2 linked regions of the Bombyx mori genome follow. The protein of the gene in region 1 interacts with the protein of each later gene in a pairwise test. Links are inferred from orthologs where the notes say so. Each region holds a gene or a part of one and is shown on either strand. Other genes may lie near its edges. The genes, in order: serine/threonine-protein kinase pelle and Dorsal.

Region 1 (3,830 bases):
TATGAATGGTGTAAAGATGAAACAGTAAAGTACACGAGCAGCATGGGCGGGCGCGCCTCGCGCGGCGGCTGCGTGCAGTGCAGCGCCAGCTCCAGCAGCGCGCGGCACAGCGCGGGGTGCGGCGCGGGCGCGGCTCGTGCAGCCGGTGCGGCTAGCAGGCGGCGAGCGCGTGCAGGCGGCGGTACACGAGCAGCATGGGCGGGCGCGCCTCGCGCGGCGGCTGCGTGCAGTGCAGCGCCAGCTCCAGCAGCGCGCGGCACAGCGCGGGGTGCGGCGGCAGGCGCGGGTCGTGCAGCGCGCCCAGGTCGTGCCGCGCGGCGTGCCACGAGTGCAGCTGGTGCGCCAGCAGGGGCCGCGCGCGGGAGCGGTCCCAGGCCGGCAGCCCCGTGCTGGTCTCGGCCACCACCACGCCGAAGCTGTACACGTCGACGGCCGGCGACAGCACGCACGACTGCAGGTACTCGTCCGGCAAGTAGGGCCTCGTCCCGTACACTCTACACGATGCGGTTACATCGGGTCAACAACGGCATGTCACAATGATGGGGCGATCGTCATTATGCAGAAGGCTAAATATTTTTTTGAATTTTATTAATAAAAAGTTGCAGTAAGATATCTTTGCGTGTACTGCATTGTATCTGGACGGCATATTAATAAGCGACTGAGATTTTTTAAAAATTAGAAAGAAAGAATACATTGAGCATCAACAATGACCGTCAAGTAGGTATACCCCCCCCCCATCCCCCGTGTGCGCAGCCGCGGGGGACGCGCGGGCGCGGGGGCGGGGGCGGCGCAACGCGCGTCGCAGTGCAAGCGATCACGATAAGAGATGAAACGGATAGTGGTTTGGCCGGATACCGAATACCGAATATTCGGCAAGCTGCGAGGCCGCAGTGCCGGATATTCGGCCCTTTCGGAAATATTCGTGCGAGTTCGGGTGTTGTCGCACGTGAGCGGAGATCGCGACGACTCGGGGGCGTTCAAGTGTTCGCGCGTGTCAGTTTGTTTTTGTTCATGCGTGTCGTTGTGGTTTTGAATGAAAGAAGATGAAACTGGATCTAACTTCACACGTGAAGCTCATGACACTTTCTGGGACTGTTTCAATGAAGTGGCAAAGGATAATAGTAGTGATTTTCGCGATCAAGAAAAACAAATACCAATTCCTTCTTTACCGGATATCGGTTAATCTCTAATCACGATGCGCATGCGTCACGCCCCCGAGTGCTAAGTTAGTGACAGTTAAGATTAAACAAGTCATGAACGCGGAGTGAGGCTGCAAGCACTGACCGTGAGACCTTCAGATGCGTCCGTTCGTCTCCGTAGGGCCCCTTCCGCGCGAGGCCGAAGTCTCCGATCTTGGGCTCGAGGCACTGGTCCAGCAAGATGTTAGCCGGCTTGATGTCCCCGTGGATGAGCGCGCTGCCGGTCATCGTGTGCAGGAACTGCAGCCCTCTGCGAACAGTCTGTCACTCAGAAGGCGCTCCCATCTCTCGATCAGATGATATGTCCGCTCATACCTGGCCACCCCGCACATGATCCTGCAGCGCTGCGCCCAGGAGAGCGGCGCGGCGCCGTCCTTGGGCCGCAGCCGCTGCTCCAGCGAGCCGCCCGCCATCAGCTGGTACACCAGGCACGCCTCGGGCCCTGCGCACGGCACACTCGTCAGCTCGTTGGCGGCCCCGCGCGGCGGCGCGCGCTCACCTACCTCCCAGGCTGTATCCGTAGAGGGGCAGGATGTTGTCGTGGCGGTACTGGTTGAGGCACATCTCCCGCACGAGCTCTTGGTCGCGGCCCTCATTGTCGCGCAGCCTCTTCACCGCCACGCCCAGCAGCTTCCACTCCCCTGCGGGCACGCCGAGGGTCATGAGCGTCAGGGGTGGGGGGGCGGCGGCGGGGGCGGGGGGCGCGGCACGTACCCTTGTAGACCTGTCCGAAGCCGCCGCGGCCGAGCAGGTTGCGCTCGCTCCAGTCGTCCGTGGCGAGCCGCAGCTCCTCGTAGCTCATCTTCGGGATGGCGGACACCTTGCGCAGGATCTCATCGTACTTGTCGTACTGCGCGGACGAGGTGTCCTGGCGTCACACAACGAGACCATTATTCCTTGCGTCACTGACGACATGTGACTCACGATTGTACTAAATCTAAATGCCCGGTGTGTGTATGGATGTGTGTGCATATGTGTGTGCGCGTGTGTGTGTGTGTTCGTGTGAGTGAGAGTCATTATATTATAGTGTGCGTGGAAGCGCTAGCCCCGCCTGAGGTATGTGAGCGGCAGGGCGGGGGAGGTAGACAAACGTCAAGCTAACTCAGTCTGCCGCCCGTCGACTCGACCACCGCGCCGGTTACACAATTCAGTTGTTCAGTTTGCTCCAAACATACACGAGATAAAATATCCTAAGATGGGTAAAATGTAATTTACAATGTGCAGTTTTTTTTCTCAGACCGTAATGAGAATTGTAGCTGAAGGAATTTCGAATCGGAAAAACCAAAATTTACTTCTCCACGAAATCCTAATGAAATAAAAAAGATTGTTGATAAAAAATAAAAACAGATAAATAATTAATTTTTTTTATAATGTACTATAACAGTGATAGCGTTTTTTTTTATTATTTTCTTATTAACAAATGTTAATTTGCTTATAAAATTGTTTTGTATCGTAAATTATAAAATTTAATAAACACTTTTGAATATGAATTTTTTGTTTAACCAAGAAATAGAAAAATACAATATTACAATTAGGTACCCATTACATTAATTCTAACATGTTATTCTGAGATTTATCTGCACTTAAATATAATATCGTGTGCGTCTTGTCAATCACGCCCTCCCCCGTCTTACCCCGCCACATACCTCAGGAGGTGACTAGCGCTTCCGCGCGCACTATATACAAAGACGAGATGTGTGTGTTTCAAGTGCAATAAGAATACAATAAATTTGGAGACGGAAAATCGTGGGCCAAAAATGTAATAACTTGAAATGTAGTCTAAAAAAATTGTCATATTTTTTTGTATCTAATATATAAAATTCTCGTGTCACAATGTTCGTTCCCATACTCCTCCGAAACCGCTTGACCGATTCTCATGAAATTCTTTATGCATATTCAGTAAGCCTGAGAATCGGCTACTATCTATTTTTCATACCCCTAAGTGATTAGGGTTGTCCACCCCTAACATATTTTTTTTTATTTGGACAATTTTTTTTTTGTTATAATGAGGTATTATGTGGTTGAATGAGGTTTTGTTATTTTTATTATATATTCCCTCATCGTTCACAGCACTACATACCTCTTTCACTCATTTACCACATCCTTATACACTTACAATAAGTTAGTTTTTTTTTCTACACTAGAAATTCCCTAGAAATCTTATATAGTATGGCAAAACAATGTTTGCCGGGTCAGCTAGTAAGAATATAAAAAATCACCTCAATCCTTTTACTGGGACCGGAGAAAAATGAGAAAATTGGTTTTTCTCGGTTTAGCGGTGTGATCTATTTAATTAATCGATTACAGGATTATAAAAAGAAAAACATTACATTAAGTAATGAATGCAAATTAATTAAATGAGCGATTTATACTTGTTGTATACAAGTGCGGTATACGGCGAATTTAATTGCGATTATATACATAAATAAAGAAAAAGTCTATTATTACTTAACAAAGTAATATGATTATCGATTTCAAATCGATTAAAATCAATTGTATTTTTAATGACAGCTTTGATTTTTTTTTAAGGGATTTTATGTTCTGGTAACTAAGACCTTTAAGTCATGTCTTATTTTCATTTATTTTCTTATTTTTATGAAAAATGATGAAATGAAATGAAGATGATTAATT
Region 2 (3,830 bases), on another chromosome or scaffold:
GGTGTATATGTCTCAAGATGAGAGTCAGCTATCGTGGTTCTGGTGACCGTTTAACACTAAACGGGGCGGGCAATCAAATAAAATAAAACCCAATTTTTTCAACGAACACCCATTCACGACATAGTAGCAGCCCACTGAGTTTCTCGCCGGATCTTCTCAGTGGGTCGCGTTTCCGATCCGGTGGTAGATTCTGCGAAGCACTGCTCTTGCTAGGGTTCGTGTTAGCAACAACGTCAGGTTCTAGCCCCGTGAGCTCACCTACTAGTTAAGGTTACGCTGAAATAGCCTCTCAAGGCTAGCAACTTGGTAGGAAAAAAAAATGCATAGCAGCCGATTTCGCTCGAACCGCAAGCCCGCTGCCAGCGTAAGCTAATAAAATTTTAAGTTGATATAAACAATGTTTCGAACTCAGTATGTATGTGGCTTTCTAATTATAAACGTGCTCTCATTACGCGGCCTGTGTGCATGACCTGTTAATATCTTCGCGTTTGCATTGTATTGGTTTTAATACGAGTATTCTTTGTTACCGGGCGAGATATATTGAATTACGGTTTAATCGTTTTATACCTTGAAACATGAGTTCTAAGTCTCAGTTTTCATGTTCAACGGCTACCCCATCCTTCGAACCGAAAGGCATTGCTGTTTCACTGCAGAAATAGGCAGGGTAGTGCCTATGTCGCAGGCAATTTGTATGATTCCGCCGTTTACAAACGGCGTCGTCATTATAAAAACGCTCGCCGTTATGTAAAATGCCGAAGGCAAAATGATAACTCGTTCAATAGTTATAATTTCGACATTGGTTGTAGTTTTAGGGTGACCACAATAAAATGCAGCTTATAATAATCAGACTTTATTTCTGTAATCAAGTACTAATGAAGATTTCAAGTAAGACTAAATTATGTGCTTTGATTCTCTTAAAGTACTTAATTAAAATATTTAAGTAACAAAACAACATTTAAATTACACACTTTATATTATGATACTCATGACAATAATAAAACTTCTAAGGATAATATGACACTTTCAAATAAAACAAACAGGTCGTAAGTAAAATCATATTTTGAAGTTTGAAGTATTCATGGTCTTGACTCTGCTCATTAAAATCTCGAGATATAATCGGTTTAACTACGATACCTTTATTTGGTATGTTACGTTTGGATTCACAAACAGGACATAACGATACGAATAAATCAATCGCTTTTCTCACACTAATAAATCTATCCTTCGTTTGATACTGAATTTTGTCTCGATCACCATGTCCGCAACCTCTATGAATCTCTAACAATACATCGGAATATTCGTTCAACGGTATTACACGAACGGTTGGACTACCAGGGCTATCCTTTTTAAAATAAAGTAGTCCAATTCACTGATGCTCAGGACCTCGTATTGTCTTGACCAGTAGTAATCTGCAGGAGTCCTCCGCGAACTAGATTCTGTGGCCACCTTAGCATTTTTTAGGTGCCGAATAACCTCAAAAATCTTACTATTTGTCCAAGGCTTTTTTACAGCTTCCATTTGAGAATTGTATTTTTTTTTTAATTCACTATAATATATGCCTTTAAAATCAGAATCTTTCCTAAAATGTCTTCTCCACACGATATATTTGCACTGTTTTCAGTTATTTTTTGACGCGGTTGTTATTATTTTGATCAACAGTGGCGCGCGTGGTAAAAAATTGAACTAAGCATTTCAATTCGCCGCGGCATTATGAAAACAGCGTTTGAATTGTCGATGCTATGTTGTGGCATATTATAAAGTGACACGGCAGTTTACATTTTGCCTTCGGCATTTTACATAACGGCGAGCGTTTTTATAATGACGACGCCGTTTGTAAACGGCGGAATCATACAAATTGCCTGCGACACCGACACCTATACGCTATCGCTACCCGTGCGAGATCACAAAACGCCCTGCCACCAGTAAAAGAAGAGTAACTGTGAAAAAATACGTATGCACTAAACTATGTACTGTTTCCTTTACCTAGATAATTACAAGGTTTTAGACGTACAGCTCGTACCAAAACCGCATCAGTGGTTTTAGTGTGACGCTCATACGAACGAATTAAAAAAAAAAAATTTTTGTAGTGCACGCTATCAATATTTTTTCTAAAGGTTTTACGGACCTTATGACATGAAACCGAAATTTCGACTACAAAACAGCTAAACCACCGCACGCGATTATCTGGAATGAGTTACTGCTTCGCCGCAGAAGTCGGCAGGACGGCGTTATCTAAATCGCAAAGAAAACTATGCGAACCTCACATATGTTTGTTGCAGATTCCGGTATAAATGCGAGGGCCGGTCGGCGGGCTCGCTCCCGGGCGTGTCCAGTACTCCGGAGAACAAAACTTATCCTACAATCAAGATATGCTCTTACAAGGGACCGGCCACCATAGTCGTGTCCTGCGTCAACAAGGATCCCCCGTTTAAGTAAGTGTCGTCTTTTTTTTTCTAAAATATTGTTACGCGCTGGTGTTCTATAAATAAAATTTCACCAAACTACAACAAAAAAACTGTATTAAAGACTTGGAACACTTAAACACTTCACAAACACTTTAAAACACTCAATTCGCTTGTTCCGCTTCGCTTCAGGTGATCCGTTCGCTGTTTCGCTTCGAGTAGTTCCGTTTACTGACTGACTGCGTGCGGGTTTACTTTGCTTATTTTTGGTGACATGTGGGGTGATTATGTCGCAGTGGTTATTTATTTTTTTACACATATTGACAACCTACACATTGTCTATGCTTGAAAACGAAACGCATTTTCGGGGATTCCCATGAATAATAATACGTTTACGTACTCGCTTGGAACAGAGTAGGGGAATTATTGCGCGCATATAAGTGAATATGATGTGCGTTAAAGTACTCTATCCTATAAGCCTATTTTCTTATTTTTAGAATTATAATTGCTGCTCATTAATCATTAAAAAAATTAGAATACGTTAGTAGAAAAATTCATATACTAATGTTCACGTTAGCATTTGGGGTCAGAGCTTTGTTTACTTATGCTGACAAGGGGAAAGGGGGGGTGAATGATTGTAATAAATTTGCTTACGTAATACTGGAACAAGGTCTTCTTCCAATGAATTCCGATCATACACAAATGAATTTTCAATAATAACACAATTTGGTTCGCGGTGTTGCAATATGTCGATTTCGAATTGTTCGAGATGATACCGTCATCTCGTTTTTACCATCCCACCGCCCGCCATCGGAATAGAGTTCATCCACAGTACGTTTCCAGAGGTCTTTTTTGCCGCGTACCATCCGGCTATGGAATGAGCCCCTCCACGGTGTTTCCCGAGCGCTATGACATGTTCTTCTTCAAACGAGTTAAGCGGTAGGCAGCGGCTTGGGTCTGCCCCTGGCAATGCTGAAGTCCATGGGCGACGGTATCCACTCACCATCAGGTGGACCGTGTGCTCGTCTGCCTACAAGGGCATTATTCCCTGGGCGTTGTCCTGCGGAGTTGTATGTATGTACCTGTTACGTGTGTGGTGACGCGCAGACCGCACCCGCACAACCTGGTGGGGCGGGAGCGCTGCGACCGCGGCGTGTGCTCGGTGCGCACCGACGTCACGGAGGACAACAACGAGTACCAGTTCAGGAACCTTGGGATACAATGCGTCAAGCGCAAGGACATCGTCGCCGAGCTGCGCCTCCGGGAGGAGCTCAGGGTGGACCCCTTCAGGAGTGAGTTCTATTAGAATCCAATTTTTTTATTCTAGGAATAATCACACGTTCACGTCACGCAATACACGAACACAAATAGTTTGGTAGAGTCGTGTTTCGAGCTATATAATTTTTAAAGGTCTCTAAACGTTGACGT

What was found.
Region 2: the proteins of serine/threonine-protein kinase pelle (region 1) and Dorsal interact in a two-hybrid assay, tested with the Drosophila melanogaster proteins (2 studies listed by BioGRID). The link is inferred for Bombyx mori from reciprocal best matches to the Drosophila melanogaster genes pll and dl.

What each region holds. Positions count from the first base shown.
Region 1 is NC_085132.1:11,582,473-11,586,302, reverse strand, and holds part of serine/threonine-protein kinase pelle, read right to left. Parts: intron 2,068-3,830; coding exon 1,914-2,067; intron 1,841-1,913; coding exon 1,703-1,840; intron 1,642-1,702; coding exon 1,515-1,641; intron 1,450-1,514; coding exon 1,285-1,449; intron 495-1,284; coding exon 152-494; 3' UTR 1-151. UniProt on the Drosophila melanogaster protein: Plays an essential role in the Tl receptor signaling pathway that establishes embryonic dorsoventral polarity; the signal directs import of dl into ventral and ventrolateral nuclei, thereby establishing dorsoventral polarity.
Region 2 is NC_085118.1:1,073,454-1,077,283, forward strand, and holds part of Dorsal (embryonic polarity protein dorsal), read left to right. Parts: intron 1-2,279; coding exon 2,280-2,432; intron 2,433-3,509; coding exon 3,510-3,694; intron 3,695-3,830. UniProt on the Drosophila melanogaster protein: Embryonic developmental transcription factor. The lateral or ventral identity of a cell depends upon the concentration of this protein in its nucleus during the blastoderm stage.